2 linked regions of the Oryctolagus cuniculus genome follow. The protein of the gene in region 2 purifies or fractionates together with the protein of the main gene of each other region. This does not show direct contact. Links are inferred from orthologs where the notes say so. Each region holds a gene or a part of one and is shown on either strand. Other genes may lie near its edges.

Evidence for each region. Proteins that work in one complex are often made in the same cells at the same time.
Region 1: the proteins of SLC22A15 (region 2) and VAPB purify together in Homo sapiens (co-immunoprecipitation; 3 studies listed by BioGRID and IntAct, with this or other methods). This does not show direct contact. The link is inferred for Oryctolagus cuniculus from reciprocal best matches to the Homo sapiens genes SLC22A15 and VAPB.

Annotation. Positions count from the first base shown.
Region 1 is NC_091442.1:3,793,168-3,796,826, forward strand, and holds the start of VAPB (vesicle-associated membrane protein-associated protein B/C), read right to left. Parts: upstream 2,838-3,659; 5' UTR 2,613-2,837; coding exon 2,555-2,612; intron 1-2,554. UniProt on the Homo sapiens protein: Endoplasmic reticulum (ER)-anchored protein that mediates the formation of contact sites between the ER and endosomes via interaction with FFAT motif-containing proteins such as STARD3 or WDR44.
Region 2 is NC_091438.1:54,447,599-54,451,341, forward strand, and holds the start of SLC22A15 (solute carrier family 22 member 15), read right to left. Parts: upstream 2,496-3,743; 5' UTR 2,396-2,495; coding exon 2,300-2,395; intron 1-2,299. UniProt on the Homo sapiens protein: Organic zwitterion/cation transporter with apparent specificity for amino acids and their derivatives. Has low affinity for its substrates and may regulate their flux across the plasma membrane at high substrate concentrations.

The sequences.
Region 1 (3,659 bases), on a different chromosome or scaffold from region 2:
ACCTGCACAGGGCACTGGGCATTTGGCACTCTCTACAGCCCTGTGCTTCCAGTACTCCATACGGTACAACACGACCACCACCTCCATAGGGTATTCCACAGCTGCTGACCTCTGACCTCCACAGTATCATGTAGCCACTGACCTCTGACCTCCCGAGTATCATACAGCTGCTGACCACCACCTCCATAGAGTACTATACAGCCACTGACCTCTGACCTCCATAGATATTATACAGCCACTGACCTCTGACCTCCATAGAGTATTACACAACTGACCATCAACCTCCATAGAGTACTATACAGCCTCTGACCACCACCTCCATAGAGTACTATACAGCCACTGACCTCTGACCTCCACAGAGTATAATACAATCACTGACCACTGACCTCCACACGGTAATATACAACCGCTGACCTCTGACCTCCATAAAGTATTATCCAATCGCTGACCACTGACCTCCACAGTATCATACAGCCACTGACCACCCCCTCCATAGAATACTATACAGCCACTGACCTCTGAACTCCACACGGTAATATACAACCGCTGACCACTGACCTCCACACGGTAATATACAGCCGCTGACCTCTGACCTCCATAGAGTATTATTCAGCCACCGCCCACCACCTCCAGGGTTGTAATATACAACCGCTGACCACCGTACAGAACCACGCACTTTGCGAGCAGGGTAACACCTCTACCGCGACTCCCTCCAAACTTCCACAGGAGACAGGGCCGCCTCGAGTGTCACCCCGTAAGTCACCAGTGGCACCAGGCGCTGGAAGTGACCTGGTCAGCCCGAGCTCACGCATCTTCACGTGAGGAACCGGGACAGAAACTGGAGTTCTCTGCACCAGGGCCCTTCTCCGTGACGTCACACAGGAGGACACAGCACCAGGGCCGGGGGTGGGGGGAGTCGCCTCCCCCTGGACAGCAGCGGCACCTCCTGTCCACTACCACCCTGTGTGCACGTCGTCCTGCAACCCTGACAGGTGTCCTCTGCCGCCGTCGTGGGAACGCCGCCGTGTCCCAGGAAACCAGCTGACTCGGCACCCCTGCCCCGCGGGAGGGCCCCCACGTCCCGCCTGCCTCCACTGCGCCCGCGCAGCGCAGCTCGGACGGCCCGGTCCCGGAGCACCCGGCACCACCTCGCATGGCCCGGAGCACCCGGCACCACCTCGCATCGCCCGGGGCACCCGGCACCACCTCGCATGGCCGCACCACCACCGCCTCCTGACTTCAAGCGCTGGAGGCAGCGAGTGGGGCCGTCCTGCTTCCTCTGGCGTGGGACAGGCACTCGGGAAACGTCCGTGGACCGCAGGCGCGGAGGCGCCAACTCCCAGGGGCGCACAGGCCAGCTATCCGGAGCACTGCAGACAGCTCGTCGCGTCCGCGTCGGCTCCCTGGACGCCCGTCCCGAGGCCCCTTCACCAGGTCGAGCCACACGCCGCTCTCCCGGAGGGACCCAACGTCGGGTGACGACAAGGTCGAGTCTAAACGTTATCTCGGGCGCACCCGAGTCACGGCTTTGCCTGGCCTGCCTCACCCGTGCCCAGACGCACCGAACGAAGGCAGCGCGCACGCACACGGAGCCGGACCCCGCACACCCCACGCGTGCAGAAACACGCGCGGCAGCGGCGCTGGCTGACTGGGAGCTGCAGTTCACTCACTCCCAGGAAAAAAAAAATCGCAACTGGAAAGCGTGGCTTCCCCTAAACGTCTGCCCTATGCGCAGGCGCAGCCGCAGGCCGCGGGGCGAGGGTCCCCGTGGCCTCTGCTGGGTTCCCACCGAAGGCGCGAGGCCGCCGCGGGCTCCCACCTCGGGGTCACTCCACGCTCCACCGGGACTCCAGCAGCCACAGTTCCGGACGAGGCCCAGGGGTCGGGCAGCACAACGGGCAGTGCGCGCTCCGAAGCGGGGGTCCACGTGCCCCGTCTGCCAACTGGGCACCGCAGGCCACAGAAGCCGGTGCCCGCGGCCAGCCCCGCGCAGACGCCTGACGGAGCCCCCGCTGCTGGCCGGGCCACGCCGACCTGTCCAGTCGGCCAGCGCCACTTCCTCCCGGGATCCGGTGTCCTGCGGCGGCCGGGGAGCGCTCCGAGGGCGGAGGCCTCGTCCGTCTTGTCCACCCACGCCCAGGACGTGCGCTGGGCGGGAACGCCAAGTCAGACAAGGTCCCGGGACACGGACACGAACGCGTGACAGCGGAGCGGCCCGCGCGGGAGCCTCCCACGGGGGAGGTGTGGCTCGCGGCTTCCTGGTGCCCAGCGCCAGGCTGTCCTGGGGACAGGAGGGCCTGCACCGCGCCGTCGGGCACGTGCTGGACGTCGGCCGCGCCTGGCGAGGCCCGGTCCTCTCGGCCTGGCCCCCGCGGCTGTCCGCAGCGGGCCGGGCAGCAGGGGCCAGGCTGGCGCCGCGCACCGCGGCCCCTTCCCGGCCGGCGCAGCCCCGGGCCTCGGCCAGGGCCTCGAAGGCCCCCGCCGGCCGGCCGGGCCCCGCAGCGGCGCCGTCGGGGCGGAGGCGCGCGCGGGGCGGCGGCGGCCTCGGGCTTACCTCGGAATTTGAGCTCGTGCTGCGGCTCGAGGCTCAAGACCTGCTCCACCTTCGCCATGGTCGTCGGCGGGCACCTCCGGCCAGCAGACCCGAGAGGTCACCTGCGCCGCGAGCGCCAAGGCCGCGCCCCCCGGGAGAGCGACAGAGCGGGGCGCGGCGGGGGCGCGGCGGGGGCGCGGGCCGGGCGCGGCGGGGGGCGGCGGGCGGGGCGGGGGCGGCCGACGCGCTGCGGGCGCAGGGGCGGAGGGCGAGGGCGAGGCCGCGGTGCCCGGCGAGCTCACGGCACGCACGCACGCACGCACGCCGCGACGCACGCACGCACGCACGCACCCGGCCGGCTGGCTGGCTCGGGCCGCGGGAAGCTGCGCCCTGCGCCGGCTCCGGGGGGCGGGGCCAGAGGCTGCGCGCGCGGAGGCCCGCGGGGGGGGGGGCGGCCGGCGCGCAGGCGCGGCACCGGCGCGGGGCGGGGCTGCCTCGGGGGGCGGGGCTTGGCGGCGCTCGGGGGCGGGGTCGGAGGGTGCCCTGCAGGGCCGGCAGTCCAGGGCCGAGGCTGCGGGTGGACGGCCCGCTGGGGGCCGGCCGTGGCGACCACCAGCGGGACGGGGACAGTTAATGCACACTTGCACTTGGCTCCCGCGGTGCCAGGCGCCGAGGTTGTGAACACTGGGGGAGGAACTTGTTAGAAAGTGCGCGGTCCGGGCGAGGTACAACCAACTGCCAGCTACTGCCCGCTCGTTTTCCGCCGCTCTACCGGGTGCTTTTCACGTAAAAGCCACTGTGCGTTAAACATGTAACAGATGTGTAGAAAAGCCGTCGGCTAAGAGGGGGCAGATCTGCACCCCGCGACCGTGGCCGGGTGCGGAGAGGCAGACGCAGTGCGTGGCTGAACGCTGCCGGGGCCCAGATCCGCGTCCCCTCGGAAGTGGACGCTGGGCATCCTTGTTGCCTTTAGAGCCACTTCATTCTGTCACCCCGACGGCCCCTGTGCACGCGGTCCCGGGTGCCTCGGGAGGTGCCTGTCGGGTACGCGGTCCCGGGTGCGCTCGGCCGGCCCCCCCTGTCCGGTACGCGGCCCCGGGTGCCTCGGGCGGTGCCTGTCGGGTAC
Region 2 (3,743 bases):
ACGAGATTCAAGATCCCATCTACGAAAATTAACAAATGGTGGCATCTTCTATATTTGCTTCACAGATGCAGGTGCAATCTCCTTTGTCCACTCCTCAGGCCTACCCCATCCAAAGGGGCAACCAAGTTCATGAGCCAGGTGTAGACCCCTCCACGGCAAGTGCTTATACTTCTGCGTTGCTTACATCTATTCTTAAACCAAATGTGTTATTTTGGGCACTTTTGAAATTTCAATCAGACATATGACACTGTACATATCACCCTGCTTAAATTTTCATCCATATAGCTGTATATTAATCAAGTTCATTCATTTTAGCTGTTGTATTTGCAAAATTTATACCACATTTTACATAGTTCCCTTGTGAAAATCATTTAGGTGGCTTCTAATTCTTGTTATCATATACAGTGCTACAATAAATGCCCCCATGAGCACATGTTCAGGTAGGGTGAATGACCTAGGTATCCAACACTAAGTTGTAATTTTACCAGAAGCCTCTCTTCATTTTCATCCCACCTGTACTATTAGACTGCTAACACGTTAAGTGTGAAATGGTATTTTCTAGTCATTTTAATATGCCCATCCCAGGTGACTCCTGAAGTTAAACATCTTTTCACTTATTGAATACTACAGCTTCTTCCTCTGCAAAATACCCGCCCAATCACTCCACTTTCTAAAATGCTGCAAAAAGATACTGCATGGATAATACCAGCACACTGATAGTCCCAGGATCTGAAAAGTAAGGTTGAAGCTTTTGGAAAGTTTTCCTGAAAATAATGCATTCCTAAACTAGACGAGATTCATGACACAGCATCACAATTCCACTGGTGAAACCAAGGCCTCTTACAGGTTACATGTCCCTATCACTCGATGTCTTACTTTCTGTGCAAATTATACTGCAATATATGATTCATGATCTGAGGAAAGTAAGAGAGCTGGGGTCTCTGGCTTAGAACAAAGAAAGGCCCATTTTCATTTCAAGAATGAAAACCAAAGGACTGTATTCCCACCTTCCTCCACGGACAGCCAGGCACACACACATTCGCAGCAGTGCTGAGGATGGCTTCAACTCTGAATCACCATCAGAAAAGAAACAGTAACAACCTAGATAGTTATTCACATTTAAATACCACAAACAGCTCTGACCCTAGGAGAGGGCAAGTCCATTTTGAAGGTAAGAATTTCTGTAGCTGTCAAATTATCAATCTTATTGCTTATTTATAACATTTTTACATATTTTTTCTTTAACTTTTTGTTGATGTAGTTGAAAACCACTGGCCACTATTATCAAGGCATTTTCTTCTTACAATGCTAAAGAGAAATCTGCCTCTATTCTTTATATATCCGGAAACAGACCGCTATGAAAGTTGCCAATTGTGTTGGCAAGGAGTGTGAAAGGAAGTCTCTCGGTCGATGGAAATTGGATAGCAAGGATACTTTTGATCATCTACATGATGGCATCAATCATTCAAGAAACAGTTAACCTAAGGACTTCCACAGTTGGCTTCGCCGTGTGGTTTTGTCCTTTTAGTTTGAACTTGGATGTGTCTGACATAAGGGGAGTTAAAAGGCATTTAAAATATAATGACAGGGCATAGCGGGTAAAGCCACCACTTGCAGTGCTGGCATCCCATACGGGCGCCGGTTCAAGTGCCAGCTGCTCCACTTTGGATCCAGCTCTCTGCTATGGCCTGGAAAAGCAGTAGAGGATGGCCCAGGTCCTTGAGTCCCTGCACCCAGCTGGGAGACCTGGAAGAACCTCCTGGCTCCTGGCTTTTGATCAACGCAGCTCTGGTCATTGCAGCCGACTGGGGAGTGAACCAGCGGATGGAAGATCCCTTTGTCTCTCCTTCTCTCAGAGTCCTTGACTCTGACTTTCAAATAAATAAATAAATCTTAAATATATATATATATATATATATAAAAGAGTCCCAGAAGAGGATCACATAAAAGCATCTGTGTGGTTTCCATCTCCGTGCCTCTACAGCTTTGTGCTGCTCAGCGGGGCTGAGTCGTCACCAAACCACAGATGCAGCAATGACCCCTGCAGAGGGGAGGCCCCCTCTCTGGCAGTGCTGATGTGCACTTGGTTCACATTTTTCCAGAACAATGGCAAGAAAACAGCAACCTCCTTCCATGGAAGCCAAGTCAGTGAAAAGGGCTTTTTGCTTTTCCTGCTGTTGTGGGAAGCCACGCCTCATCCCCAAGAATCGTCTGAGACGCAAGCATGTAATGGCAACTCCTAGTCCTCCTACGCCACAGGCAGGCCCCCCCAAAGCCCAAAACACCTCCAACCACAGACTTGGCAGAGAGGTGTCTCAGGAACTCCACTCTCACATCCAGGACAGCTTGGGGCCCTATGGAGACCATGCAGCCCAGTGGGCTGGGTGACAAACATGTGGCAGCTGACAGGGATTCTCTTCTGCTTGGACTGGAACGGCTCCTCCACTGGCAAACACACAGCTACGGGCACCTCCCAGGCCCCATCTACAAGATAAACAGTGAGTCACTCATTCTCACACTACAACCTGGTCTTTGTATGCCACATACTGACCATATGTCCATTAAGGTTTATTGAACAATTACAGCTGTGGGCTTAGAACTCATTAGCAAATGCTAACCAGTGAGGTCAACCATAAACAGGAGCAGGTGAGGTAAACTTGAAGGTCCTGAGTCCAGAACATGCCATTGGAAACAAACTTATTCCAAGTGGGGGGACAGGGCTCACGATGACACAGGACACAGAGGGTGCAGAGAGGGAGGGGGGAAACTGGAGCTGCTCAGGGAGGAAGTGTGTTCTTTAACTCTTGATTAGAACAGAACAAGAAAGAGTAGGCTTCATGGTCGCAATTTTACTTTCTGTGCATTAAGCACTCTTTTGTCATTTAGCAAGAACATTTTTTTTCTCCCTTGGAAAAGTGCATTTAAAGCTAAAGCAGCAAGCTTAAACTTCAGGACACTAAGAGTATTTCAAAAATTTCACAGAAGTGGCATCTCATGAAAAAACTATGCATGGATTGCAGCCTCATGCAGCATGTTTCTGAGCTGAGAACTGCACCTGATTCCAAGATCAATCTATCATTTGAATGATCTTTTTCTAGCTGGTGATGAAATCAATGGCGCTCTTCAACATTTTACGTACAAAGAGAATCACTAAGTCAACTCCTCCTCCCCACACAACCCTGCCCCATCTTCCTGTTGAGCCATTGCCTTATACAATGTTTTAGCAACCAGCTGCCTGGGAGTTTACCCAGGCCCATTCCTTACTTCCTGCAGAATAACCGTTAGCACCCATTGGACTGTAACTACCTGGTTAACTGCCTGCCTGCCCCACCCGCTAGAATGCAAGCTTCCAGAGGGCAGGGACTTTCCCGCCATGGCCTTCTTGTGCTCAGCACATATTAGGTCCTCACTGTATGCACTGACTGAAGGAATGAGTAGGCTCACCATTGACATTAACATAGGGTTTGTAAATGAAATGCCTTTAGAATATTGAGAGAAGCAACGGATGTCAACAGGCCATTTAAGTTGGCCAAGGAGGAGCAAACGGCCTGGCAAAGCTAATCTGTGGCCACCTTTGGCATATGGAACCTACGTTTTTAGGTTGGGGTGTGCAAGTAGGGTCTGAGAATTCTCAACAATAAGGAAGGGTACCCAGTGTTGTACCCACACACTGTAGACGGCATTCTCCAGCTTATAAACGCCTCAGCGGGCCGGCCTCGGGGCTGAACCACTTAACCAGATGG